Callithrix jacchus: one gene and its partner. The protein of the gene in region 1 interacts with the protein of each later gene in a pairwise test. Links are inferred from orthologs where the notes say so. Each region holds a gene or a part of one and is shown on either strand. Other genes may lie near its edges.

Region 1 (14,901 bases):
CCAGTTTGATGTACAGTGGTGTGATCTTAGCTTACTGCAACTTTGGCTCACTGCAGCCTCTGCTGCCCAGGCTCAAGGAATCCTCCCACCTCAGCCTCCCAAGTAACTGGGACCACGGGCACACCCCAGCATGCCCGACTGATTTTTTGTCTTTTTGGTAGAGACGGGTTTTCGCCAAGTTGCCCAGGCTGATGCCTATGATTTTCTATGTGATACTATCTTCTCTGCTGTCAAGTACATTTTTTAAGATTTCTCTGTTATGTCTCTGGGATTTTCCTTCAGTTTGCTGATTACATCGTGCACATTTGATACTGTCACTTTCATGATAGTAATCGATATCACAAAAATGAAAATTTCATCAGGAAAAGCAATTCAGTCCCAAAAGTTTTTCAGTGAGCTCATTGTTTAACAAATTTGCACCTGTGCAGGCAGTGACCGCTGTGATCATGACAGCTGCCTGACCATAGTAAGGTGTCATCAATTATAAAATGCATTCCAGTTTTCAGAGATGCATTGAGAGAGATGATGGAAGATTCAGAGGCAGTGAATATATCTTTTAAGAAAATCCTAGGGAAAAAAAGCAGAAGAAATCAAAATTATAATAGAAAATAATTTTAAGACAAGGAATATTTGAACCCTACCGATCAAAAGTACTCACCAAGAAGCATTATTTGGCTCTGGGAAACAGGTGGGAGAATTGCTTGAGGCCAAGAGTTCAAAACACCACTTTGGGCAATATGAGACCTCTCCTCTTTAAAAATCCAACTCAAAACCAAGAGAAATGGCTGATGGATTGGATCTGAAAATTACATAAGATCTGAGAATTGACCGTTGTACTTAGCAGAGTAGAGGTCATTGGTGACCTGGAGAAGAAAATTTCAGCAGTATGTTGGAGAGAGACATCCTGATTGGAATGGATTTTAGGATGAGGTGAGTTATAGACAGTGGACAACTCTGGAGGACTTTGGCCACAATGAGGAGAAAAGAAAGGGAGTAGGCTGGGTGCAGTGGCTTACGGCTATGATCCCAGCATGTTGGGAGGCCGAGGTGGCAGATCACAAGGTCAGGAGTTCAAGACCAGCCTGGCCAACATAGTGAAACCCTATCTCTACTAAAAATACAAAAATTAGTCAGACATGGTAGTGCGTGCCTGTAGTCTCAGCTACTCAGGAGGCTGAGGCAGGAGAGTCACTTGAACCTGGGAGGTGGTGGTTGCAGTGAGCTGAGATCACACCACTGCACTCCAGCTTGGGCAACAAGAGTAGCACTTCGTCTCAAAAAAAAAGAAAAGGAAAAAAAGAAATGGAATAGTAGCCAGTGGTGGAAGTTGGGGCAGTAGACAAAAAAGGAGATTGAGCATGCTGATGAAAATTACTTGCACGCAAAAAGTTGATATAGCGTAGAAAGAGGTAGACAGGTGTATGAGATAAATGAGGGGATAGGCTTTTGAGAAGAGCATTGTAGGGACAGGCAGAGTGTGTAGTACAGATTCTTATTGGTGGGTTGATTTGGTCTTTAACTGTTAAGAGACTCTGGTGAGAATGCTGTTAAGTTTCATTTGGCGTTGGTTAAAGGGTTTAGTGGCTGGTTTTTGTTTTTTCCTGTGTTGTGGCACTAAGCATGTAAAACCAACTTGTCAACCTGAGCTTTTGTTGTTGTTAGCTTTCATTTTCTCTTTCATAGATAGAGTGGTGATCATTTGGGAAAAACTTGGTTGGTTGTAGATGTGTTATTTTCTCTCCCACTTTGAATCACCAGTTGTTTTCTCCCTCGGTTAACCAGTGATGTGGAACTTCGTTATAACAGTGGTCAGAGTGGTGGTTTTAGGTTTCCTTTTAGTATAGTGTTTTTCATTTTCAATACTGTAAATCTTCTCAACTTCCACAGGCTCCATACCACTTTTCTACTTAGGAAAAAGTTAATCTTTCTTTTAAAGGAAGCATCAAGGAAATGTTTATATCATATTTTCTGTACCTGTGATTTCTCACTAGCTACCTGTACCATCGACTCCTTAAGAGAAAGTATATTTGCAGAAAAACCAGTTTACCTAGATTGTTCTGCACCTGTTATGGAACATAAGTGTTTATACAGCTTTGAAAACCTTAGATTTTTTCCAGAATAGTCTTTTTCCCCTCAGCTTTTCCTCACCAGTTTGAGAAATGACATTAAATATAATTCAGTTTGGGATTGGGTATATATTTCTTTAGTTAGAGTAGCTGTTCTCATTTTAAGTGATGCTATTTTCCTATTCTAGTCACTGACTTGAAGTCTCCTTTTTATGGATACATTATTTGTATAGCATTTTTAAAAATTTTTTTTAATTATTTTTAAATGAGGAGGAGGAAGGAGAGGGGAAGAGAGTGAGACACACACACACACACACACACACACACACACATGCAGGGGGTTGGGGGGCTGGAGAGAGAGAAATACCTGTATAGTCATTTTTATTAGAAGAAATCTAATATAGACCAAAGCTGTGCTATTGAGAATATGAATTTATAGAGTATACATTTAGCTTTTAAAAAGTTTCTAGGTTGAAAATATCTTTTGCAAGTTAATAGAAATGTTTTCCTATTCTTTTCATAAAGGACCTATTTTGTCTATGTACATAAGCTGGAGTAATTTTTTCAGATTTAGAAACATTTTTCTGGAAAACATTATTACATCTAAATCTGTAGTGAAGATGTGTCTGCTGAGTGGATGAACCTTGAAAACATGCTGAATAAATCAGTCATAGGCCGGGTGCGTGGCTCGTGCCTGTAATCTTAGCAATTTGGGAGGCCAAGGTGGGCAGATTACCTGAGGTCGGGAGTTCAAGACTAGCCTCACCAAAATGAAACCCTGTCTCTACTAAAAATACAAAATTAGCCGGGCGTGATCGCGCATGCCTGTAATCCCAGCTACTTGAGAGGCTGAGACAGGACAATCACTTGAACCCAGGAGGCAGAGGTTGCAGTGAGCCGACATCACGCCATTGCACTCCAGTTTGGGCAGCAAGAGCAAAACTCCAATTCAAAAGAAAAAAAAGCCAGTCATAAAAGATCACATATTTTGTAGTTCCATTTATGCAAAATGTCTAGAATGGGCAAATTCATGGAGTCAGAAAGTAGATTAGTGGTTGCCACAAGTTAGGGGACTGGGGGGATGGGGAAATGGGAATTGTCCTCTGATGGGTACTGGGTTTCTTTCTGAGGTGATGTGATTGTTATACAGTTAAATTATGATAGTTGCACAGTTCTGTCAACATACTAAAAAATATTGAAGGCTGTTGCTTTTTAAAATCTGTGATATAGCAAGTTAAGGACTAGTCCTTAATCCTCTTCCCCCAAATTCTCCAGTTGTATAAATGCTATAAAAATTATAGTTACTTTTCAGTGAGCCAAAACTGACTTAATATTACTAAAAGTTTTTTTAATCTATCTCAGAGTATAGAAGTACAGTATTAAATATTTAAATGAGAAATGTTTATATATACAGAAATGTACAAAAGAGAAGTTCTTCATGATCCCAGTCTCTTTGGCTATAATGTTTAACTTGAATATATATCTTTCTAAATACATACAAGCCAGTATGTTCATTTTTTAAATGTTTATATAAAAGATAGGGTCATACTATATACATTATGTTATACCTTGCTCTCTTCATTTAGTAATGTGTATAGGACATCTTTCTGTGTCCATATATACATTTTTCATTCTGTTTTTCCTGCTTTATGTTCTCTTATTGTATTAACATACTACCACAATTGATCAATTATAAAATGTACATTTTTTCATATTTTAATATTTCTGAAATGAGAATGCACTTTAGGGCCAGGTGTGGTGGCTCACGCCTGTCATGCCAGCATTTTGGGAGGCTGAGACAGGCGGATCACGAGGTTAGGAGTTCACTACCAACCTGGCCACCATGGTGAAACCCTGTCTCTACTAAAAATACAAAAAATTCACTGGGTGTGATGGCGTGTGCCTGTAATCCCAACTACTCTGGAGGCTGAGGCAGGAGAATCGCTTGAACCCAAGAGGTATAGGTTGTGATGAGCAGAGATCAGGCTGTTGCACTCCAGCCTGGGCAACAGAGAAAGACTCCATCTGAAAAAAAAAAAAAGAAGAAGAAGAAGAAGGAAAAGAAAATACACTTTAGAATCAGTGGCTGGTTAGAGTTTAATTTGCGTTGTGTTTTCCTACACATAAAACAGTGATATTTGTTGTTATTAGAATCTGAGATTTGATGAATGTGGTATAATGTCACCTATCTGTGGATATTTTAAAATTTTGTTTGCATTACAAATAATGCTACAAGATATGTCTTTGCACATGCTTGCTTTGAATAAACTCAAGTGAAATTACTGTCGATTTTAATAGATTTTTCCACATTTCTTTATTAAAAGATTATGTCACTTTACATTTCTGTGTGCAATAGATGAGGTTATTTTCCCAACCCTTATCAACATTGGTTATTCTCAGCCTTCCAAGTGTTAATCTGATGTTCAAAAAAGTTTTTAATCTTGCATTTTAAATTTAATTGATTTTATTTTAAGTACACATTAAAAAATCTGCATCTAAAGACTTGAATGCAATTAAGCGTGTCTATATGTTGTCATTTTTATTTCTTCTACAAATTGTCTACATATTCATTGCCATTTTTAAGAATTTGAACTGGTAGTCTTTGTCCTCCTGAAGTGTGAGAATGTTTTCTATATTTGGAATACACATTTTGCCATATGCATGGTACATTTTTTTTTTCTAGAAAGTCATTTGTCTTTGCCATTTGTGGCATGTTTTGTCATAGGGAATTTTAAATTTTTATGAAAGTTTTATCAGATAATTCATGAATGTTGATTGTCTTTGATAGTGTTGACAGAATTATTTTTCTAAATTTGTTAGACAATTTAGATGAGCAAATCATTTTGAAAGTGTCTTTATTTAGACAATACTGAATATCATAATTGTAAACTTTGCTTAATGATAAAATTGCCTTTCACTCTGTTGATTTCTTTATTGTTTTTGGCTTATATGCTTTTGTTTTAAAGTATCTCATAACTCTAGTGGGTTTTAAGGCAAAGAATACTATGCTAGAAGTAGAGAAATGTGAGGTTCTTTTTTTTTCAAGTGCTGCCATTAGCAAGCCGTGTGCTTTTAAATTGTTTCTGTAAAATCCTTTTCTTGTTTTCTTGTTTTTTTTTTTTTTTTTGAGATGGAGTCTCACTCTGTCACCCAAGCTGGAGTGCAATGGCATCATCTCAGCCCACTACAACTTCCACCTTCTGGGTTCAAGCAATTCTCCTGCATTAGCGTCCCAAGTGGCTGGGATTACAGGCGTCCGACACCACATCCAGCTAATTTTTGTATTTTTAGTAGAAATGGGGGGAGTTTTACCATGTTGGCCAGGATGTCTCGATCACTTCGCCTTGTGATCCGCCCGCCTCAGCCTCTCAAAGTGCTGGGATTACAGGCGTGAGCCACCGCGCCTGACCTATTTTTTTCTTTTTTTGAGTTGAAGTCTCGCTGTTGTTGCCCAGGCTGGAGTACAATAGTGTGATGTTGGCTTACTGCAACTTCTGCCTCCTGAATTCAAGTGATTCTTCTGCCTCAGCCTCCCAAGCAGCTGGGATTACAGGTGCATGCCACCACACCTCACTAATTTTTGTATTTTTAGTACAGACAAGGTTTCCCCATCTTGTTCAGGCTGGTCTTATACTCCTGACCTCAGGTGATCCACCCACCTCAGCCTCCCATGGTGCTGGGATTATAGGCATGAACCACCACACCTGGCCTGTTTCTATAAAGTCTTTAGGTCTCCATTTTCTCATTGGCGAAATGGGAACGCTGTACTGTCTCACCTGTTTTTAGCTTAAAAGTCTATAAACCTGTTAGGTTTGTAAGTCTGTAAACCTTTAGCTCTGTTGATTATTAAGAATCTACATTTGCATACTTTGCTTTAACCATTTATTTCCATAATTCAGTAGTACTTTGTTGATGTTTGGCCGCAATATTTATTTTGTTTCTTATTTGTTCTGCTTGATCAAATAGTTGTTTTAAAACATATCCTCTTTAGCATTTTATTGTGAAAACTATTTAACATCTTTATTCACACCGAAATTATCCACTCTTGATCTTTACCTTGTTTTGTACTGAAAATACTTATTATAACTATTAAATCAAAGATATAAGACATAAATACAGAAAACAAAAATATGGTAGGATTTGGAGTTACAAGAGGAAAAAATCCGTCATGGATGTGGTATAGACAAACTTGTGTGTCAACTCCATTTCTGTCACTTGTTAGCAGAATGACCATGAGCAAGTTATTTAACCTTGAATCCTCATTTTCTCTATCTTTGTAGTAGAAATAATAAGAGTGACCTCACAGAACTATTATGATTAAACCCTGGCATTTAGTAGACACTTGGAAACTCATTCTCCCTTTAGATGTAACAACCAATTAGTGACACAGCCAAAAGAATGACTCCTCTATTTTTTTGTATACTTGAGGTTACCACCTTTTCATCTTGAGTAACCTTGAAATCCTGGAGTGTACGTGAATGCATTTCTGAGTTTAGGTATTTAAATTAATCCTTTTCCTCCCTTGAAATATGTACACTTGAGTTTTGTTTTTTCTAATTTAATATAGAGAATCCCCACTCTTCATGGCACTGTGTTTTGCTTGTAGTTAAGGTCTTATCCCCTTCCCTTTGTAAAGTTAGGCATCCCAAATGTGCAGAATGAAAATAGTAAATTTAAGCTATTACATGCCAGACTAGCTGAGATTGTACTTTTATGGTAACTAGCTTTAACATGCAATTTATAGAAATGTATCATATAAAATCTGGGGTAAACCTGAGTTATATGTTTATATTTGAATTTCTATAACTACTATATGACATAATCTTTAGAACAAGAATTACATCTCTATATATTAGTAGCATAGTGCCACATGTTATAATACAACGTTGTCCCTGAATCAGTAAAATAGAGATCTTGGGTTGCTATGTTTTTTCTTGATGATTAAATTGCAGGAAGTGATATTTTTTCATCTAACATACAATGTATTTTAGATCATTTGTTTTAGCCTTCTAATATTTTGACTGGGATTTTAAAATATAAAGTAAATTTATAGTTCTGCTCTTTTAAAGATAACATTAAAATAATATTAAATCTAACATAAAATGGATAGCTGTTTAATGAAATATGTTATCTTACAGCCAAATTTGTATCCTACTGTGGGGCTTCAGACACCAGGAGAAGTGGTTGATGCCAATTTTGGTCAACATCCTTTCGTGTTTGATATAGAAGACTATATGCGAGAGTGGAGAACCAAAATCCAGGCACAGATAGACCGATTTCCTATCGGAGATCGAGAAGGAGAATGGCAGACCATGATACAAAAGTAAGAGTGAAGAAATTTGAATTGACATTATTCAGAATATATTTTTTATAAGACATTTATTCTTTTGGTATTCATGGAAACTTTTTAATCAGTTTATATACTAATATCTCTACAATGTTACTGATTTTATTCTCTCAACAAAAAGTAATTTACTCCACTAAACAAATTAAAAACAATTGATGACACATATAGAATTGTATTTCTGTCTGAATTAATTGGATGGAGGAAATAAAATGATAGGTCATCTAGGCTAGGTTAATTCATTTGCTTTTCTTAGTAATAGGATTTCTGTACGTTACACAATTTAACTTTTAATAATGTTAATGCAAAAGATAAAGTTGAGAGATAATCTAGATTTTATAATTAGGATCTGTGGTTTTTGGACATGAACTTGGCCATGCCCAAGCTCTTAATATTTGAACTAACAGCAGTATAAGTATAGACTTAAATTTTTAATAAATACCATTAAATTTAAAAAGTCCTTTTCACTATTATAATCCAAGCCAAGAAAATAGCAGACTTTCAGATGCAATTGGTCTAACACATGTCATCTTAAATGTCCTTATAATTGCTTTGAATATTCTTAACTTTAAAATTGTCATAAAATTTTGGGGGTATTTTGTTAGAAAAGGCAGTGATTAAGAGACATGATGATGACTGTGAAAGCACACTTCTTCCCTAGAACTACAATCATTTGTATTACAGAGCTTGAACACTCGTTTTTCTGTCCAGCTCAGAGAACAGACAACCCTGATGCAGAATCCCATGGTCACCATGAGCTGAAGCTCTAGGTTGGGTTGTTCTGGCGCCACATTGTTTTAATGCTCTCACTGAGCGTCATGGCAGGGTCATAGAAAACATTGATTTTAATCTTACAGCCAGGATCCTCCCACTTCTTCACTGAATTGTTACTTACCATGAACTCTTGAGAAGTCCATTCTAAAAGGTCCCCTCCCTCTTAAATTAATTTGAACAATTGGATAAAATAAGATGCAGATTTGTTTCTTAGACTTTTTTCCCTGCTTCCTCTCCACTTCTCCTCAGTCTCCTCCTGGTGAACCACTGCTTCCCACCATTTTCTAACTAGCCTGTGTAGTGTCAGATGGAGGCAGGTTTAAGAGTTGAATGTTTGGAGATAACAGATACTTGGGTTAATATTGTTGGATCACCAGTTTTTCTAACCACATTTTGTGGGTGGTAGATACATGTTTTGACTACCTGGTACCTTTTAAAAAGATTATTGTCTTGGAAATATGTCACTTACATGTAAATCATATTTGATAAATCTCTTGGGCAAACCATAGTAATTGATTTAGACTAGAAGGCTGGTTCTTCCTTTAACTAGGCTTTATAGACATTGTTCTGGATTCACCTTAGTATTCTGTACTTACTTTGTGATCCCATCTTATTTAACTGGTATGTAAAGAAAATTATCAAACTTTGGAACGTTAACATTTAATCTTTTACTTTAAAGTTGATTATTTTACAGAATGCCAGCAATTACTGGAATAAGTCATATAATAAAAGCAAAATGAAAATTACGGTTAGTAGGGCTGAATAATAGGATAGGAAGGGAACTGGGGGTAATGATAATCTAAGAATCAAAAAAAAGGTCACTTAATGTCCTTGATTCTCAAGTAATATTTATTTTAGGAGGGTACTCTCAATATGGGATTTCCGTTATCTTTTTGAAAATACTACATGAATACAACAAATGATGTTTTTCAAAAGCTTACTTTAAAGGTGAGGTTCTTAACAACACCTTGTTTCAAGAAAATAGGTTCGTTTTTGTAACACCAGAGTAGACCTTGTTTATGTAAATTGTAGTATGAAGCATGTATTCTCTTCACTAAAAGATGTATGTTTCTTCTGTTTTATTTTAAGAATGGTTTCATCTTATTTAGTCCACCATGGGTACTGTGCCACAGCAGAGGCCTTTGCCAGATCTACAGACCAGACCGTTCTAGAAGAATTAGCTTCCATTAAGAATAGACAAAGTAAGGACACTGTGGTGCATGCTAACATTTGTTTTCAGATTATAGATTGGGTTGCTTTAATTTTTAGAAATTTTATTTTCTTAATTTAAATAATTTCAAGTATATTTAAAATGGATGCCTCTGAATTTTATTTTCACTGACATTTTTGAAGATCAGCCTTAAAAATTCACATAGGTCTGTGTCAGAATTCTAATTCTAGAGAGATTTTGCAGAAATTTTCGTAAGGAATGTCTTTACCATTTTTTTCTTAAAAGAATGTTTTCTTAAACTTTCAGAAAAAAACTAAAATTTTTTAAAAATAAGTAGTTCTGATTAGTTGGAGGAGATAATATGTGAAAGAAAGGTAAGTATCTTTGAATTTAAGTTGCTATCTAATATAAGATAGTATTGATCATACGTATTTATTATTTAGATCCTAGTGCTGGCCTGTGTGGCCAAAGATAAAACAGGCCCTATAATAACAATGGCAGGTTAGCATAACTGTTCCATGGTTAGCCATCCTAAAATTGGTGCTGTATTCCATCAGGGTTGGTATGACTTGACAAGAGGGGGATGAAAACAAAACAGATGGGTGAAATAGGTGGATGAAAACAACCGTTTCATAGATCAAATCGCTGTAATAGCACTGATTACATTGTATTGTAGTTAATTGTGTGCTATCCTTTTCTACTATTTTAATAAGCTCTGTTGAACAGAGATCACTTAACTCATTTTGTATCCTCATCTAATTTAAAAAAGGTCAGATCAAGTGAATGCTCAGTGAATCTCTGTTAAATTGGAATCTTATTCAAAAGCTAGCATTTTTTTAGTCTTTTGTTCAGAAAGTCATATTTGATAAAGCATTTTATTATCTCTTTAAAACATAGTCTTTTTAATCTGTGTTTGAAACTTCAGTATTGCATAATATGTGTTTTAATTATATTACTTGTGTGTTTGTGATTTTTTTTTTTTAATTTGTGACAGTATGTTTTTTTCTAATTTTTTAGTATGTCTGAAATGTTTCCTGGATTGCCTAATGGAAACTATGATGTTAGAAAAAGAAATAGAAATTAATCATAATTTATTTGCAGATTTTTACTAACTCCCTTTTCTGAGGATCCACTAAGTTTATGTTTTACCTACCTTTGTAAAAGTTAATCGTTTGCTTTCTATTACTGAATAGGAATTCAGAAATTGGTATTAGCAGGAAGAATGGGAGAAGCCATTGAAACAACACAACAGTTATACCCAAGTTTACTTGAAAGAAATCCTAATCTTCTTTTCACCTTAAAGTGAGTTTGCATAATAAAATGCTATATTTGTTATGTGTTATAAATATTTGTCATATTTTATATAATAAAAGATATATTTCATGCTTTTGTAATTTTAATTTTCCCCCTTTACAAATATATGTAATTTTGTAATGTACATTTATTTATTTACTTATTTTTATTGCATTTTAGGTTTTGGGGTACATGTGCAGAACATGCAAGATAGTTGCATAGGTACATACATGGCAGTGTGTTTTGCTGCCTTCACCCCTTCACCCACATTTGGCATTTCTCCCCATGCTATCCCTCCCCAGCTCCCCCACCACTGTCCCTCCCCTATTCCCCCCAATAGACCCCAGTGTGTAGTACTCCCTTCCCTGTGTCCATGTGTTCTCATTGTTCATCACCCGCCTATAAGTGAGAATATGCGCTGTTTCATTTTCTGTTGTGTCAGTTTGCTGAGAATGATGTTCTCCAGATTCATCCATGTCCCTACAAAGGACACGAACTCATCATTTTTGATTGCTGCATATATTCCATGGTGTATATGTGCCACATTTTCCCAGTCCAGTCTATCATCAGTGGGCATTTGGGTTGGTTCCAGGTCTTTGCTATTGTAAACAGTGCTGCAATGAACATTTGTGTGCATGTGTCCTTATAGTAGAATGATTTATAGTCCTTTGGATATATACCCAGTAATGGGATTGCTGGGTCAAATGGAATTTCTATTTCTAAGTCCTTGAGGAATCGCCACACTGTCTTCCACAATGGTTGAACTAATTTACACTCCCACCAACAGTGTAAAAGTGTTCCTATTTCTCCACATCCTCTCCAGCATCTGTTGTCTCCAGGATTTTTTAATGATCGCCATTCTAACAGGCGTGAGATGGTATCTCAATGTGGTTTTGATTTGCATCTCTCTAATGACCAGTGATGATGAGCATTTTTTCATATGTTTCTTGGCCTTATGTATGTCTTCTTTTGTAAATTGTCTGTTCATATCCTTTGCCCATTTTTGGATGGGCTTGTTTGTTTTTTCTTGTAAATCTGTTTGAGTTCTTTGTAAATTCTGGATATCAGCCCTTTGTCAGATGGGTAAACTGCAAAAATTTTTTCCCATTCTGTTGGTTTCTGATTCACTCTAGTGACTGTTTCTTTTGCCGTGCAGAAGCTGTGGAGTTTGATTAGGTCCCAATTTGTCTATTTTGGCTTTTGTTGCCAATGCTTTTTTTGTTTTGGTCATGAAGTCCTTGCCTACTCCTATGTCCTGAATGGCTTTGCCTAGATTTTCTTCTAGGGTTTTTATGGTGCCACATCTTATGTTTAAGTCTTTAATCCATCTGGAGTTAATTTTAGTTTAAGGTGTCAGAAAGGGGTCCAGTTTCTGCTTTCTACACATGGCTAGCCAGTTTTCCCAACACCATTTATTAAACAGGGAATCCTTTCCCCATTGCTTTTTTTTGTCAAGTTTATCAAAGATTGTATGGTTGTAGATATGCTGTGTTGCCTCTGATGCCTCTGTTCTGTTCCATTGGTCTATATCTCTGTTTTGGTACCAGTACCATGCTGTTTTGATTACTGTCGCCTTGTAGTATAGTTTGAAGCCCGGTAGTGTGATGCCTCCCGCTATGTTCTTTTTGCTTAGAATTGACTTGGCTATGCGGGCTCTCTTTTGGTTCCATATGAAGTTCAAGGTGTTTTTTTCCAGTTCTGTGAAGAAAGTCAGTGGTAGCTTGATGGGGATAGCATTTAATCTGGAAATTACTTTGGGCAGTATAGCCATTTTCACGATACTGAGTCTTCCTAACCATGAACATGGAATGTTTCTCCATCTGTTTGTGTCCTCTCTTATTTTGTTGAGCAGTGGTTTGTAGTTTTCCTTGAAGAGGTCCCTTATTTTCCTTGTAAGTTGTATTCCTAGGTATTTTATTCTCTTTGTAGCAATTGTGAATGGCAGTTCGTTCTGGATTTGGCTCTCTTTAAGTCTGTTATTGGTGTATGGGAATGCTTGTAATTTTTGCACATTGATTTTATATCCTGAGACTTTGCTGAAGTTGCTTATCAGTGTCAGGAGATTTTCGGCTGAGGTGATCGGGTCTTCTAGATATACTATCATGTCATCTGCAAATAGAGACAATTTGGCTTCCTCCTTTCCTATTTGAATACCCTTTATTTCTTTTTCTTGCCTGAGTGCTCTGGCTAGAACTTCCAGTACTATATTGAATAGGAGTGGTGAGAGAGGGCATCCTTGTCTAGTGCCAGATTTCAAAGGGAATGCTTCCAGTTTTCGCCCATTCAGTATGATATTGGCTGTTGGTTTGTCGTAAATAGCTTTTATTATTTTGAGATACATTCCATCGATACTGTGTTTATTGAGGGTTTTTAGCATAAAGGGCTGTTGAATTTTGTCAACGGCCTTCTCTACATCAATTGAGATAATCATGTGGTTTTGTTTTTGGTTCTGTTTATGTGGTGAATTACGTTATAAACGACTAGCATATGTTGAACCAGCCTTGCATCCCCGGGATGAATCCTACTTGATCATGATGGATAATCTTTTTGATGTGCTGTTGCAGTCGGCTTGCCAGTATTTTATTGAAGATTTTTGCATCTATGTTCATCATGGATATTGGCCTGAAGTTTTCTTTTCTTGTTGAGTCTCTGCCAGGTTTTGGTATCAGGATGATGTTGGTCTCATAAAATGATTTGGGAAGGATTCCCTCTTTTTGGATTATTTGGAATAGTTTCAGAAGAAATGGTACCAGCTCCTCTTTTGTGTCTGGTAGAATTTGGCTGTGAACCCATCTGGACCTGGGCTTTTTTGTGTGGTAGGCTCTTATTGGCTGCCTGAACTTCAGACCTTGTTATTGGTCTATTCATAGTTTCAGCTTCCTCCTGGTTTAGGCTTGGGAGGACACAGGTGTCCAGGAATTTATCCATTTCTTCCAGGTTTACTAGTTTATGTGCATAGAGTTGTTTGTAATATTCTCTGATGATGGTTTGAATTTCTATGGAATCTGTGGTGATTTCCCCTTTATTGTTTTTTATTGCATCTATTTGGTTGTTCTCTTTTTTTTTTTTTTTTTTTTTTTTTTTGAGACGGAGTTTCGCTCTTGTTACCCAGGCTGGAGTGCAATGGCGCAATCTCGGCTCACCGCAACCTCCGCCCCCTGGGTTCAGGCAATTCTCCTGCCTCAGCCTCCTGAGTAGCTGGGATTACAGGCACGCGCCACCGTGCCCAGCTAACTTTTTGTAATTTTTAGTAGAGACGGGGTTTCACCATGTTGACCAGGATGGTCTCGATCTGTTGACCTCGTGATCCACCCGCCTCGGCCTCCCAAAGTGCTGGGATTACAGGCTTGAGCCACCGCGCCCGGCCCTCTCTTTTCTTTTTTATCAGTCTGGCTGGTGGTCTATTTTGTTGATCTTCTCAAAAAACCAGCTCTTGGATTTATTGATTTTTTGAAGGGTTTTTCATGTCTCTATCTCCTTCAGTTCTGCTCTGATCTTAGTTATTTCTTGTCTTCTGCTAGGTTTTGAGTTTTTTTGATCTTGCTCCTCCAGCTCTTTCAGTTTTGACGATAGGGTGTCAATTTTGGATCTCTCCACTCTTCTCATATGGGCACTTATTGCTATATATTTTCCTCTAGAGACCACTTTAAATGTGTCCGAGAGATTCTGGCATGTTGTGTCTTCGTTCTCATTGGTTTCAAAGAACTTTATTTCTGCCTTCATTTCATTGTTTATCCAATCAGCATTCAAGATCCAGTTCAGTTTCCATGAAGCTGTGTGGTTCTGAGTTAGTTTCTGAATTCTGAGTTCTAACTTGATTGCACTATGGTCTGAGAGACTGTTTGTTATGATTTCTGTTGGTTTGCATTTGCTGAGGAGTGATTTACTTCCAATTTTATGTGGTTAGTTTTAGAGTAGGTGTGATGTGATGCTGAGAAGAATGTATATTCTATGGATTTGGGGTGGAGAGTTCTGTAAATGTCTATCAGATTTGCTTGTTCCAGGTCTGAGTTCAAGCCCTAGATATCCTTGTTAATTTTCTGTCTGGTTGATAATATTGACAGTGGAGTGTTAAAGTCTCCCACTATTATTGTGTTGGAGTCTAAGTCTCTTTGTAAGTCGTTAAGAACTTGCCTTATATATCTGGGTGCTCCTCTATTGGGTCCGTATATATTTAGGATCGTTAGCTCTTCTTGTATCGATCCTTTTACCATTATGTAATGGCCTTCTTTGTCTCTTTTGATCTTTGTTGC
Region 2 (15,693 bases), on another chromosome or scaffold:
GGAACACTACACATCCACAACCATCTGATCTTCAACAAACCTGACAAAAACAAGCAATGGGGAAAGGATTCCCTATTTAATAAACGGTGTTGGGAAAACTGGATCCCTTCTTTACACCTTATATAAAAATTAACTCAAGATAGATTAAATATTTAAATGTAAAACCCAAAACCATAAAAACCCTAGAAGAAAACCTAGGCAATACCATTCAGGACATAAGCATGGGCAAAGAATTCATGACTAAAACACCAAAGCAATGGCAACAAAAGCAAAAATTGAGAAATTGGATCTAATTAAAGAGTTTCTGCACAGTAAAAGAAACTATCATGAGAGTGAACAGTCAACCTACAGACTGGGAAAAAATTTTGCAATCTACCCACGTGTCAAAGTTCTAATATCCAGAATCTACAAGAAACAAACAAATTTACAAGAAAAAAACAACCCCATCAAAAAGTGGGCAAAGGATATGAACAGACACTTCTAAAAGAAGACATTTATGTGGCCAACAAACCTATGAAAAAAAGCTCATCATCACTGGTCATCAGAGAAATGCAAATCAAAACCACAATAAGATACTATCTCATCCCAGTTAGAAAGGCAATTATTAAAAAGTCAGGAAACAACAGATGCTGGCGATGCTGTGGAGAAATAGGAATGCTTTTACACTGTTGGTGGGAGTGTACATTAGTTCAGCTATTGTGGAAGACAGTGTGGCGATTCCTCAAGGATCTAGAACCATAGATGATACCATTTGACCCAGTAACCTCATCACTGGGTATATACTGAAAGGGTGATATATCATTCTGATATAAAGACATGTGACATATGTGTTTGCTGCAGCACTATTTACAATAGCAAAAACTTCAAACCAACCCAAATACCCATCAATGGTAGACTGGATAATGAAAATGTGGCACATATACACCATGGATTACTATGTAGCCACAAAAAATGATGAATTCATGTCCTTTTGCAGGGACATGGATGTATCTGGAAGACATCATTCTGAGCAAACTGACACAGGAACAGAAAACCAAACACCACATGTTCTCCTTCATAAGTTGGAGTTGAACAATGAGAATACATGGACACAGGGAGGGAAATATCACACACCAGAGGCAGTCAGGGTGGGGCCAAGGGGAAGGAGAGCATTAGGACAAATACCTAATGAATGTGGGGCTTAAAACCAAGATGACATTTGGTAGGTGCAGCATACCACCATGGCACATGTATACTTATGCAACAAACCTGCACGTTGTGCACATGTATCCCACAGTTTAAAGTAAAATTAAAAAAACAAAAACTTTTCAAATCTCTCATTATCAGGTATTATCCAGCACAAATAGCTATTATTCCTGGTTTTTGAACTTTAAAAAAAAAACAAAGGTACCCTTCCAAATGACTCACCAAAATCAATGAGCCTCAATCAAGGTTATGACTTAACCAAAGATGCATGGGGCATCTTCAAAGGAGGTACAACACAGTCCTCACAACAGCCAGAATCACACCAAAGACAGCTCACAGAAAGGAAAGTTTCACTATCCACAAGTGAAGTACAACTCACATTGCTATCTGGCATGATTTCCACGATCTTAGCTTCTTAGCTGGGTACTCACGAAGGCCCAAATGCTCTGTATGTCCCACAAATGGATAAAGACAGGAAATCAAAAGTTGTCCATGGAAGGGATAAGGCTCAACAACAAACGGTATCCCAAAAGGTCAAGAATCATACAATAATTTAAAACAAAAGGGACTAGCGCCCTGGCCAGGAATTGAGCCCAGGTTACAGTGGTGAAAGCACTAAACCCTAGCCATTATATAGAGAGTTTTGTATTTGTTTTCATTTTTTTTTTTTTGTTTGTGTGTTTGTTTTTTGGTAAATCTTGCAGGGAATTCAAAGCAGGCAGTTTAAGCATTTAAGGATTTTAACTTTTTTTAGATCTGATCTCATCTGGAACGCTGCTTCACTAATTCCCTGAAGGTTAGCATTTTAAAGACATAAGATTTAAAGGGTACTTTCTGATAGTGGCTCAATAAATCAGTGTGTATTAGTTCATTCCCACACTGCTATAAAGAACTACCGAGACTGAGTAATTTATAAATCAAAGAGGTTTAATTGACTCACAGTTCCGCATGGCTGGGGAGGCCTCAGGAAACTTACAATCACGGTGGAAGGGGAAGGGGAAGCAAGCACCTTCTTCACAAGGCAGCAGGAGAGAGAAAGCCAGAAAAGTAACTGCCAAACACTTTAAACCATCAGATCTCATGAGAACTCCCTCACTATCATGAGAACAGCATGGAGGAAACTGCCCTACGATCCAATCACCTCTTACCAGGCTTCTCCCCTGACACACGGAGATTGCGATTCAAGATGACATTTGGTTGGGGACATGGAGCCAGACCATATCACAGTGTCATTCACTAGACCTGGTTAGAAAAAATTTTGTTGGATCTGCATTTTTATAGTCTCAGCAGTCTTATTCCCGTTCTGTTGTTGTTCTGTTTGTTCCTTCTGCTCTAAATTTAAATTCATTTCCCCTGAGAGAAGGAAGTGTGTGTGTTGTGAGATTTAAAAAATCTCTGCCTAAGAGATATATGGAAGTCAAGGGAAGAGGCAGAAAGAGATGAGTTCAGATCACAGGGCTGGAAGGAAAAGGAGGATCTGCGGATGAAAAGCAGAAAGCCTGTGAAGTCTTTTTAAATCGTTTCAAATATCCCCTTGTTTACCTCTGGAATAAAGGCGATTTTTTTCTTTCAGGATTTTTTAGGTGCCACTGGAAGTAAGTCTCCTATTTATATGTCTGGTTGTAAAACCAGCTCTTTCCATTGGTACGCACAAATAAATTACTTAAGGTATATCAAAAGATCCCCATTTTTGGTCATTGTTGCCTATCATCATTCCAGGTTAGAGGGGTCCACTTTCCCAGGTGCTACAAGAGTACCCCATAAATCGTATATGTAATTCCAGCTGGTATTTCTAAAAAGAGTGTTTGGGTTTTGAATATTCTTATTATTGATTTCACATAATTCAGAAACTTTTCAAAAGTGACCAAAGTCAGAAATGTGTTTAGGATCAAAGTGTGACATGTCTTGGACTGTCTCTAATTGTCAGATGGCAGCAAAGTCCTCAAGGATGAGGACAACTGGATTGTCTGTAATTGTCAGATGGCAGAGTCCTCAAGGTACAAGGGACCAGACCCTCATATTATGCCCATCTGGAAGAGCAAAAGGGGTATGCTTTTTAGTTAGGAACTAACAGGAATTGGTCAAAATTAAAGGCAAATTCAGAATTTTCAAGAAATTGAAGACAGCTGCTATCTCAAAAGCATACTGTCTAAAATGAAACCACTGGTACCATCTGCCAGTTCTTTCACTTGAACCTCTGCTGTGAGACGGAGGTGAAAAAAACTTGACCCAAACCCCTGGTTCTGAGGCAGAGGCAGAAAAACTATGACTTGCACCTCTGCTGTGAGACAAAGGGGGAAAAAAGGCAGTTCCCTGCAGAGCTCTTTACCCAAATCTCCTGTCCAAAGACAGAGAAAGAAGCCCTCATTCTGAAAAAAAAAAAAAAAAGAGAGAGGGTTTGAAAAACAGCCGGAATAAAGTGTAGACCTTCAACCAAAGAGCGGGAGGTCCAAATTTAGGAGATCTCACCTGAAACACCTGAAGGCACTTCTGAAGGAGGCGAGTTCACGCTGGTATCAAGTGCTGCTTTCAGAGAGAAACACCAGGTGGCTGGGGAGTCACTGAATCCTGCTGATTTACTCTAGGTGTTTGACCTATAAGAAAGAAGCTGAGGCAAAATTAATATAAGTTGGGAGTTTATGTGGCCCAGGCTTGAGGACTGCAACCCTGGAACATAGATTCAGGTTGCCCTGATTATAAACTCTAGTAGCAGCAGTTACAAGTGGATTTTCAAAGAGAAAGATCTTTACAAGTGGATTTTAAAGGGAAAGATGATCTTGAGTTATTTACCAATAATTGACCTTAAAATAAAATAAGCTACTGATTGGCTATACATTATTAAACTACAGGATGTGGGTTATAATGTCTGGTGCAGCATTAATTAGTAGGTTACTGTTTAGCTTCTGCGGCAATAGTAAGCAGTTTCAAGAGACAAATACACGGCTCAAAAGCTGTGTATTTCACAGCCATTTCACTTTAATGCCTCTCTGGGCCTCATAATTTAAAAGGATTTGCATTTCTCAGATAAAGTTCTTTTCTTAACATTTAAACAAATTTTCAGCTCAGTATCATAATATAGCTGTCTGTATTTATGTTAACATAGAAATGCTTTAAATTATTTTACCATTTATAAAATTTGTGATGCAGGAAAGCCACGCTATCCTGGGTCTTCACCTTCTGAGTAGGAATCATACCTGAGGGATACATGTTTGTAGTCTGAGAAGTGCTGGCATTCTTTTTCCTTTGCAACTCAGAAGTCACTAATTCAAGTTCTCTTTTAGCACTGTTCATTCATTCTTTGATAAATATTCACTGAACATCTATTTGCTAGACACATCAACAGAACTGAGGAGACAACTGTGAACAAGATATGTATGAGTCTTATCTTCATGGGAGCTATCATCTAGAGAGAAAGAGAAATAAAGAGGAAATTAAAATATATTGTGATGTGTGCTAAGATAAAGAGGGAAACTTAGAGTGCCAAGAGAAATGTAAAAAATGTCACCTATCCTGTGTCAGTTTGCACAGGAAAAAAAAAAAATGAAGAAAAATGTCACCTAACCCCATAGCAGGTGATGAAGAAAGATTTTCAGCCAGATGCAGTGGCTCACACCTGTAATCCCAGCACTTTGGGAGGCTGGGCTGACGCAGGAGGATAACTTGAGCCCAGGAGTTCAAGACCAGCCTGGACAACAGAGTGAAACCCTGTGTCTACAAAAAAATTTAAAAAGTAGGTTGGTGTAGTGATGTGTGTCTCTGGCCCCAGCTACATGGGAGGATGAGGCAGGATGATCCTTTAAACCCAGGAGGTCAAGGCTGTAATGAGCCATGTTCATGCCACTGTACTCTATCCTGGGTGACAGAGTCAGAGTGAGACTCTGTCTCAAAAAAACTTCCAGGAAAAAATAGTCTACTGGAGTTAGCCAGGTAAAGTATAGGAAAGAATATTCCATGCCTGGCTTAGAATAAGCCCTGGAGGCTAGAAAGAACAAGGACTCTATGGGAACAAATTCAGTGCACTGGTTTAGAGGGCAGATGTCAAAAGGGCAAAGGAGAAAGATGGGGGGAGGGGGCAAGGGAAGCTGGAGAGAAAAATCAAGGCAGGTTATGAAGGGCCTCTGTTAAACAGTTTAGAAGGGGGCTGAAAGTCACCAATAGGATTTAAGCTTAAGAAGAACTAGTTTATATGTGTTTTTAAAAAAGATTGCTCGGGAACTATGTCTGGAAAAGAACAAGGGCTTGACTTACACTAAGGTAAAAACCTGGGGCCCAAAAGAATTGGAGTGAGTTAATTCCTCTCCTTTAAAGTGTCTCTTTTCTCCAAAGATAACCACTGTATCAACTCTGGGGCTAACATTCTTTGTCCCTTTCCTACTCGCTGTGGCAGCTCCCAACCCAAGTCACTAGGGCTACAGCGTTCCCTTAAGGAACACATACTTTTCCAACCTGCTGCAACACACAGAGCACATGTAATTTTATTTATTTTTCTGAGACAGAGTCTGACTCTGGAGTTCAGGGGTGTGACCTTGGCTGGCTGCAACCTCTGCCTCCTAGGTTCAAGTGATTGTTGTGCCTCAGCCTTCCAAGTAGCTAGAATTACAGGTGTATGTCACCACACACGGCTAATTTTGTATTTTTAGTAGAGATGGGGTTTCACCATATTGGCCACAGTGGTCTCGAACTCCTGACCTCAGGTGATCCACTTGCCTCAGCCTCCCAAAGTGCTGGGATTACAGGTGTGAGCCACTGCACCTGGCCAAGCACATGTAATTTGAAAGGTGAACATACTTGTGGCCTTTCTTATTTTATTTTTGATATTTTAGAGATGGGGATCTTGCTACATTGCCCAGTCTGGTCTCAAACTCCTGGGCTCAAGTGATCCTCCCACCTGGGCCTCCCAAGGTGCTGGGATTACAGGTGTGAGCCACTGTGCCCTGCCTGACCTTTCTATTTGGTCTTTTTTGATCTGATATCCTCGTTTAGGCCACTATTAAATTTTCATCTATAGAAGTAGGAAGTCAGGAAAGGACTGGAGGGAGTTTCGGCAGGTTAATGATTACAATGGAAAGAGAATACAATTATTGAGGTGTTTTGAGTCACTTGGTCATTTCCCGAGAAACTCTTTGCTTAAATATTTCCACTCTTCAGGTGGAGATGACGATACCGTTCAGGTTTTCAGAAGACCAACCTCTTGGACAATAAGCAACATATAACTTTGGTAACTGCAGTGGCTAAGCCAAGGAAAAAATATGAACAGGTACTTAATGGGAACCTGATCTAAAGCTGCCAGATATTTAGACCAAGTGCTCCTTTTGTTTTAAGAAGTTGTGTGATGCCCATATGGTTTTCAGGGCTGCTGTTCCCTCTGTGAGGAAGGAATCGTCTTTTTCCTGAACTTCTCTTTCTCTCAACTTTGAGGCCATATTTTTGTCAGTTCAAAGTGGGCAGATTTGCCAACTGGAAAAACGATGACACGCAGCCTCCCAACTCTGTAAGGACTTTTCAGGTCTGTGGGTGAACGTCATTCCCGAGCAAACCTCATGCTACAAGATTAGTAGGACGTGGTTCACAAGATATGTTTACAATGAAGGGCATCACAGACTGAAAACCTAACAGGGTAGGAGGACACAGGACCATTTCCTTTTCCTGTTTCCATCTGACTCTGGAAGGCGGGGACATTTAAAACCAGGACCACTCCAGGAGTAGAGCACGTTAGCTACTGCCCTCCAGCTCCCTTCAGTGTTGTTTTCGTAAAGGATTTATACATTGGCTAGGGCGGCGGCTTCCAAAGGCGCACAGGCGTCCCTTTTCCAACTTGGTCTCCTCGTTTTCCCTTCCTGCTCCATAACTACAACGTGTTTCTGTTTGTAATCATCTTGGCTAGTCCTTATCTCTGCTTGTAAGAAAAATCCTTTGCGCCATTCCCCTCCAAGCCCCAGGAAAAAGCTTGGAAAGCGCTCCCACCTCAGCCCCAGTGTCGCTCAGCGGTCAAGGGGCAAGCGACGTAGGAAACCCTGAGATAGGACCCTGGCCCCGCGCTGGGCCCGGGTAACGATGCCGGGGCAAGGAGCGCGGCCGGCCTGGGCGGGCGGCGGCCCCTTTAAGAGCAGGCCACGCCCCCTCCCTCCTCCCGTTCGTGGCCAGCGGACGGTGGCGGCCGCTACGGTGCTGACAAGATGGCGGCTGGCGGAGCTGTCGCTGCGGCGCCTGAGTGCCGGCTTCTCTCCTACGCTCTACACAAGTGGAGCTCCTTTTCCTCCACCTACCTTCCCGAGTAAGTGCCGGGCCCTGAGCTCGTGCTGCCCCACTCTTCCGCGTCAGTACGGCTGGGTCAGGGATGCCTTGGAGGGCAGCCGAGCCGAAAGGCCCAGGCGGGGCCTGCTGAGGGGAACGCGCGGCCTCGGGAGCCTTAGTTCAGCTGCTGAGAGCGTTGCTCGGCCCCGCTCCGGAAGGGGTTAGGGTCCCGAGAGCGAGCCCAGGGAGAAGGGGCGCAGTGTGTGGTGGATCCGGGGCGCGCACAAGAGAACCGGAAGCCCAGTGGTGCTGCGTTTGGGATTTGGGGGTTGAGGTTGAGGAGGGCTTGCGGGGCGGGCGGCTCATGGAGGTGGGGCAGGAATCGGAGCTTGCGGGGCCTGGCCCGCGGACAAACTACTCCGAAGGTCTGAGGTCGTCCGAGGTGGCCGGCGTTGGGGGACAGTTCAGTCGATTGCTGCCGGGACAAAGTGTAAAGACGAGGAGTGTATTCCAGAGTGGGGTCATTAAAAGTGATTAGCTGTAGAGTAGCGTTAAAAGTCACAGAAGGCTGAAAAGTTGTGGAATCCTTCTGAATCCCGGCAAGCGGGGAGAAGTTGTAGGACTGGCAGACGATGTCTTTAATGCATGGAAGTTCTGAAAAAGATAGGGAGTGGGAAGGAGGGACGTTACTGAGGAATCCCACTATTTCGTCTCATTAGAAGATGAGTTTGTATAGACACAGACCAGTTTCCCAACCCAGAAACTCAAAACAGAAAAATCTGGCTTTAATGAATTTGATTTTCAACACCGGCTCTGTGGTGATTCCCGATTTAGGTGTTAAACAGTTCAGTTACATTGTTAGGTTTTTTCCTTTAGCACATTCCTTCTGAAATGCTGAAAAAACTCTTACATAGTATCTTGTTTATCTTTGGCTTCTCTTTGAAAGGAGGAGCAGATCTAACTCCCAGATTTACATGCTAGTGGAGAAACTGGCTTAGTAAAGGTTTGAGATCTGTGCAGATCCTTTTTTCCTCTAGCAAGTTCCTTCTCAAATGCTGAAAATACTCTTGCATAGTATCTTACATATCTTTGGCTTATCTCTGAAAGGAGGAGCAGATCTAACTCCAATTTTACATGCTAGTGGATAAGATCTGTGGAGATCCTGAAGAAAAGTCCTAGTTATCCCTCTAACCATCATCACAGGCCCGAAACGATTTTATGAACAAAACAAATTAATGAATACTATATTTTTATCTTACTAAACAAAAAAGTGACTAGATCTGTGAGGCGTACTCAAGTAAGTTTTCCACCTATATTTGAGAAATTCTTCACATTTACCCAAATTTGATTTCACTAGTTACATCAATGAGGAATCTCAAAATGGAGCTGCAACTGGAAGAATCTGTTTTGACTACCAGCCTCCCTTTTATTCACCAGGTCAGGGGTTAGCATTCAGTAGGATCTGGCTCACTGAAGGATGCCAATGACCGGTGGTTTGATTTGGCCGGCGTAGCCATATTCATGGCCATATCCCTGATTGATGCTGGAACTCAACTTTCAGTTTTAGAGTGAGCCAGGTAGACATTCCAGCCATCAGCTGCAGTTGAAATGTGGCCCTGTGTACTTGACTTCTGTTATTTTGGGTTACCATGTTCTTGAATGTGAAGTTATTCAGCATTTTTCTATACCCAGTCTAGCATTATGAACAGTTGGTAATTGGTGTGGCATTGTTTGGTCAAACTGTAGAGACATTTTTCTGGTCTTGAATTAGTCTATTTCCAGGATGTCAGCCCTTAAACTGTTGATGTAGGCCTCTTGAATAACACATGTAATATCTGCGTTATCTGTTGCATGGACATTTTAAGAAAGAGTACATTTCCAGTAGGAAATGATTTAGTGGTATGGCAGCTTTAATCTGATTTTGTGTCTTGTTACTCTGGTCCCTGGTTTGCTGTGGGCAGAACACTAGTTTTGGAGTTAGAGAGCAACAATTTGAGATTGGAGAAATACATTGCTGCAATTTTCTCAAGCACATACATAAAATAGTTTAGTACTTACTTAACTTTCATACAGTTCCATTTACTATATCTTAATCCTTATGACATTCTGTTGACAAATATAGTTTGTTTGTTTGGCAGTATAGTTTGTATTTAAAGCATAAAGTATTAGAGCAGTCTGAGCTTTTTTCTTTGAAGGAGTGTAGTCGAGTAATACGGAGCTTAAGTTGGAGAATATTGTGTCTGCTGGGTTGGTGTGTGCCATGCCTAAATTATAAAACTCTTGGTGCTGAACTTCTATTAGCAAGCAAAGATATTACTTCTCTGTATGTAAGAAAGGGATTGGCTTTACTTACCTTTGCATTAAAATCCCTTCTAGCAGCAATTGCTATCTTTACTGGCAGTGGAAACCACATTAAGGTGCTTCTTAAACAGTCTCATTTCAGGTAAAGTCGTTTGTTGAAATTGTCCACAAATTGGCAAATAATTTGTTGACATAGATCTAAACATATTAAGGTGGCGGTAATAAAACAGTAACAAAAATGGTAAACATTTGTGATGTGCCCTCCAGTTGCTAGGCTCTCTTATGAACGAACATTTTTAAGTGTATCAACTCATTTAATCCTTACAGCAATCCCAAGTGGAATCTACATTTCCCAGATGTTGGAAACAGGTAGGGAGAAGTTAAAACTTGCCTAAGGTCACACAGCTGATTGGAGCCAGGATTTGAATCAAGGTAGTCAGCCTCAATAGTCTGGTCTTTGAGTATAGTGATTTACTGCTTCTGCACAAAGTAGATATAGTACAGGAAATGAGAGCTTTCAAAGTGTTCTTGTATTAAAGACATTTTAGTTGTGTAAAGAAATGTGAAGTCATTTTAAAAAGTTGAACAATTTTATCTCATTTTCTTTCTAAGGACTTAGAATAGAATTTTTTTCCTCTTCTTCCAGGGGCAGAAAAAACAAACATTTCCCCTTTCAACTCTTTTTGATTTATTTGGACCTTAAAAATATTAAAGCAGGCGCGAGTCCGGCCCCCGCCAGCCCGCAAGCCACCCGCGAGCTCACACCGGCTTCTCTCTCTCATCCTCTGGTTGCGGGCGCCATCGCGGTAGTGCTGGGAGCCGCTCTCCGCCGCTGCGCTGTGGCTGCAACCGCCCGGGCCGGCCCTCGAGGCCTCCTGCACTACGCCCCGACCCCCGGCCCCACCGCGGCTATCCAGTCAGTTCGCTATTATTCCCATGGGTCAAAAGAGACAGATGAGGAGTTTGATGCTTGCTGGGTAACATACTTCAACAAGCCCGATATAGATGCCTGGGAATTGCGTAAAGGGATAAACACACTTGTTACCTATGATCTGGTTCCAGAGCCTAAAATCATTGATGCTGCTTTGAGGGGAGACAGACGGTTAAATGATTTTGCTAGTACAGTTCGCATCCTAGAGGCTGTTAAGGACAAAGCAGGACCTCATAAGGAAATCTACCCCAATGTCATCCAGGAACTTAGACCAACTTTAAATGAACTGGGAATCTCCACTCCAGAGGAACTCGGCCTTGACAAAGTTTAAACCCCGTGGATGGGCTTCCCAAGGATTTATTGATATTGCTACTTGAGTGTAAGCAGTCACCTGGAAATACTGATGATAACATATTACCTTATTTGAACAAGTTTTCCTTTATTGAGTACCAAGCCATGTAATGGTAACCTGTACTTTAATAAAAGGGAAATGAGTTTGAACTTAAAAAAAAAAATTAAAGCAGATCCAGTTTTAGGGAATACATTTTTACTTTCAGACTAACAAAATGGCCTTTTATTTTTGTGTGCTTAGAAGAGATTGCCTGTATTTTACTTTTTTCCTGAAATTTACCCCTAATTTGAGAGTTAAATACACTTATTTAAATAATTCATTGAATTACATACACTCTTATACGTAAAAGTATTTTGTAAACTGCTAATCCCTGTGCTCGGATGTTTATTGTTGTAGCTAATAATGATGCTAGCTATAATTTATTGAGCACCTAATATATGCAAGATGATTTTTGTATACAGTTTGTTTAATTCTTGGCACAAACCTGTAAGATAGGTATTATATATTTAAAAAATTTGCAGAGGATGAAACTGAGGTCCATACAGAGTAAGTAGCTTGCCCAGGGTCGTATAGTTTTCCAGACCCTTGACAGGTTTTCTGACTTAACAACTATTGCATTGTGCCTTTAACAGTCACCATTTATTGAGTACCTTCTATTCTTCAGGTACTGTACTGAGCACTTTGCATGTGTTCTTTGATTCAGTCTTCACAAAAACCCTATGAGATAAATATTATTCTCTGTTACAGCTAGGAAAAGTGAGATTCAGAGAGGTAAATTAACTTGTCCAGGTCTAAGAGTTGAAAGTGTAGGAGGGGCAGGGCAGGGTGGCTCATACCTGTAATCCCTGCACTTTGGGAGGCCAAGGCAGGAGGATTACTTGTGCCAGGAATTTGAGACCAGCATGGGCAACACAATGGGACCCCATTTCTAAAAATAATGAGGAGGAGGAGGAAGAAAATGTAGGAGATATGGTTCTCACCTTGGGCCTTTTGACTTTTATCATGAAAGCTATCTCATTATTACATATGGCTATCGTATGTCAAATTGAGATGACAGATAAGAAGTACTCTAAGGTTAGAACAGCAGGAGAGGGAAAATATATTTTATCTTGATGTTTAAGATTTTAATATACTCAAGAAAACTGGGAGAAACTTGGCAAGTATTTTTTACATATTAGGTATTTTCATTTGTATAAATGATTATGTTGTTTACATGTTTTTGAATGCCTTGAATAATTTAGATGATAAAATTTGATGGATATTTAAGTGTGTTTACCTTTTCCCTGTTATTCTTATTACTTAAAATCAAATAGTACTTAAAATAGTACCTTGTGTCAACATGTGATTCATGGTTCAGGGTACAAATGCTATGATTTGACAACTAGAATAGAAAGTGAATTTATTTCAACTCTTTTTAAAACTATTCACATTTAAAAATGAATGTAGGCTGGGCAGGGTGGCTCAGGCCTGTAATCCTAGCACTTTGGGAGGCTGAGGCGGGACCATCACTTGAGGCCAGGAATTTGAGACCAACCTGGGCAATGTAGTAATACCCCATCTCTACAAAATAAAGAATATATATAAATATTTATATATTTTTATTATACAAAATGCATATGCATATTTGTATATTTTTATTATGTAAAAATATATAAATTTTTATATATTTTTTTCTCTTTGCTCTACTAAAGAAAAAGACACCCTGCCAACACCCCATCTCTACAAAGAAAAAAAAAGTATATGTAAAATGTATTTTAATATGTTTTATAGATAATAGACACTTTTATATTATCTATGAATATATTTATATATGCAAATATATTTTGATGCAAAAATGCTGTTTATTATGGAATATTTACAAAATATAGACCCACAGAAACAATTTGTTACCCTTGATATCACTACCTAAAGATTACTGTTCACCCTTTAAATATTATTTATCATTCCAGATCTTTTGCAGTATATTATATATTTTTCAATTTACTATTGTTCTCTGTTTGCTGTTCTGTATTTGCTTTTTCCTCCTTAACATATAATATATGCTTATGCTATTAAATACTTGTATATTATCTTTTTTTTTTTTTTTTAAAGGGACAGGGTCTTGCTCTGTCACTCATGTTGGAGTGCCATGGCATGATCATAGTTCACTGTGGCCTTGACCTCCTGGGCTCAAGCAGTCCTCCTGCCTCAGTTTTGCATGTAGCTGGAACTATAGACACATGCTACCATGCCTGGCCAATTTTTTTTTTTTGTTTAGAAGGAGTCTGGCTCTGTCACCCAGGCCTGAGTACAGTGGTGCCACCTCAGCTCATTGCAACCTCTGCTTCCCAGGTTCAAGCGATTCTCCTACTTTAGCCTGCCAGGTAGCTAGGATTACAGGCATGTGCCACCACGCCCTGCTACATTTTTTTATTTTTAGTAGAGATAGGGTTGCTCTATGTTGGTCAGGCTGGTCTTGAACTCCCGACCTCAGGTGATTCAGGCGCCTCGGCTTCCCAAAGTAGCTCAGGTGTGAGCTACTGCACCCGGGTCAGAAAAAAATTTTGAACTCATTAGTAATAAATCCCTAGATGTTGAGTTGCTGGATTAAAGACATCAGTTTATTTTCCTTCTATCTGTGTAGACAGACAGCACTCTGGGTAGTCTGGGTTCATTTTGGCATTATCCTTGGTAATTTGGAAGAAAAAATGTTTAAATCAGAGACAGGTTGTTTGAGATGTCTGGAGAATGCTTATAATTCAGAAGTGATAATACTCCCAATAACTTTTTTTCTTCCTCCTTAGTCCTTTATTTTAGCTTTTAAATGAATTTTGATTTTTGTTAATTACATATAGTTGAAAAACAAGGACATATTTATGAAATTTATTGTGTATTTGGTGTACAGATAAAGATGGTTGTACAAATGGATTTGAGGTATTATCATAATTCTGTAGGCTCCTGCAACTCACAATTTGTGAACCACTAGTTTGAAGGAATGAAATTCCCAGAAGACTGGAGACTATTATGCCCTTTCTTTTCTTACTTTTCTTTCCCTACTTTAAACTGAGATTTAAGGACACCGGCCTTGCTTGGGAACCTTACTAGCCACGGAAAGTTCTGTGTTTTTTAGTCTGGGATTGTTAGAACTTCAGAAAAATAAAAACACTCAGGATGGGAAAAATATATGAGGTAGACGCAGGACGAGAATTTGAGTCTTTGTTTTTGTTTTTGTTTTTTTGAGATGGAGTTTCGCTCTTGTTACCCAGGCTGGAGTGCAATGGCGCGATCTTGGCTCACCGCAACCTCCGCCTCCTGGGTTCAGGCAATTCTCCTGCCTCAGCCTCCCGAGTAGCTGGGATTACAGGCATGCACCACCAAGCCCAGCTAATTTTTTTTGTATTTTTAGTAGAGACGGGGTTTCACCATGTTGACCAGGATGGTCTCGATCTCTTGACCTCGTGATCCACTTGCCTTGGCCTCCCAAAGTGCTGGGATTACAGGCGTGAGCCACTGCGCCTGGCCCGAGAATTTGAGTCTTTATAGCTAATTCCTAGAATTAGATATTTATGACTTTTGGCAAGTTATGATTCTTTTGTGGGCATCAGCTTCTTGTGTAGAAATACTTTTTATCTGGATAAAATGTTGCCAGGTTTATGTACAATTTTTTTGAGCAGATGGGCAAATAGTTTTATTATTTGCATAACTTTTAGGTAAATATTTAAATAGGTTTTTAATGAAAGAGTTTTGGCCTTTGTGATGTTTTACATGTAGATAAGATACATTTCAGCCACTTGTGGCAATGAGTTTGCTGTATTTCAGTCATTCAGAAATTGTTTTTGGAAGTATGAGAGATTTCCTAGACTTTAATTTTAGACATACAGCTATTTATAGACATTTTATTTATTTATTTATTTATTTATTTATTTATTTATTTTTTTTAAGGAAGATGGCAGTTTTATTTAAACACAAAACGTGCACATAAGCTGTCTATTCATTTTCTTCACTGCGCAGCCTGGCATTGGGGTTGGTGACTCTGATGGCCAGCTGGGCAGCTCTTTCCACGATGGCTTTGCGGTTCTTGGAGGAAACATTGTGAGCGATCTCAGCACAGTAAGATTTGTTGCACATCAGCAGCACTTCCAGCTCCTTGACGTTGTGGACCAGGAACTTCCGGAAGCCACTGGGCAGCATGTGCTTTGTCTTCTTATTGCTCCCATAACCAATGTTAGGCATTAAGATCTGGCCCTTGAACCTTCTACGAACCCTGTTGTCAATACCTCTGGGTTTCCGCCAGTTACGCTTAATTTTGACATATCGGTCTGACTGGTGCCGGATGAACTTCTTGGTTCTCTTTTTGACGATCTTGGGTTTCACAAGGGGTCTAAGGGCGGCCATGATGCCTTGATTATCTACTTGAACCGGAGTGTCAGTTTCCTCGCCGACCAAGAGACGGCTGCTATAGACATTTTAATATGTATGTTTCAAAGAATAAGTGGTTGAGAATTTAGAGCTCCCTGATTATTGTTTGTTTATATCATTTGTCAGAAATTTCTGATGAGGGACTGTAGAGTGGAATATTTATAAAATTCCTAGGTTTTTATAGGTTCAATCTTAGGATAGTTGATCCAGATATCTTCTCTACTTCCGGATTCCCAGGGCTTGTTTTGTGAATGGCTGGCTCTGTAGATTGTTGCTTATTAAGGGGTGCTCA

Evidence for each region.
Region 2: the proteins of RANBP9 (region 1) and MKLN1 interact in a two-hybrid assay, tested with the Homo sapiens proteins (2 studies listed by BioGRID). The link is inferred for Callithrix jacchus from reciprocal best matches to the Homo sapiens genes RANBP9 and MKLN1.

Annotation. Positions count from the first base shown.
Region 1 is NC_133505.1:17,016,703-17,031,603, forward strand, and holds part of RANBP9 (ran-binding protein 9), read left to right. Parts: intron 1-7,204; coding exon 7,205-7,389; intron 7,390-9,273; coding exon 9,274-9,386; intron 9,387-10,548; coding exon 10,549-10,657; intron 10,658-14,901. UniProt on the Homo sapiens protein: May act as scaffolding protein, and as adapter protein to couple membrane receptors to intracellular signaling pathways. Acts as a mediator of cell spreading and actin cytoskeleton rearrangement.
Region 2 is NC_133512.1:115,910,954-115,926,646, reverse strand, and holds the start of MKLN1 (muskelin), read left to right. Parts: upstream 1-7,349; 5' UTR 7,350-7,361; coding exon 7,362-7,459; intron 7,460-10,076; exon of another isoform or gene 10,077-10,089; intron 10,090-10,332; exon of another isoform or gene 10,333-11,116; intron 11,117-14,876; exon of another isoform or gene 14,877-14,969; coding exon of another isoform or gene 14,970-15,377; exon of another isoform or gene 15,378-15,380; intron 15,381-15,693. Other genes in the region: large ribosomal subunit protein eL32, read right to left, coding at 14,970-15,377. UniProt on the Homo sapiens protein: Component of the CTLH E3 ubiquitin-protein ligase complex that selectively accepts ubiquitin from UBE2H and mediates ubiquitination and subsequent proteasomal degradation of the transcription factor HBP1.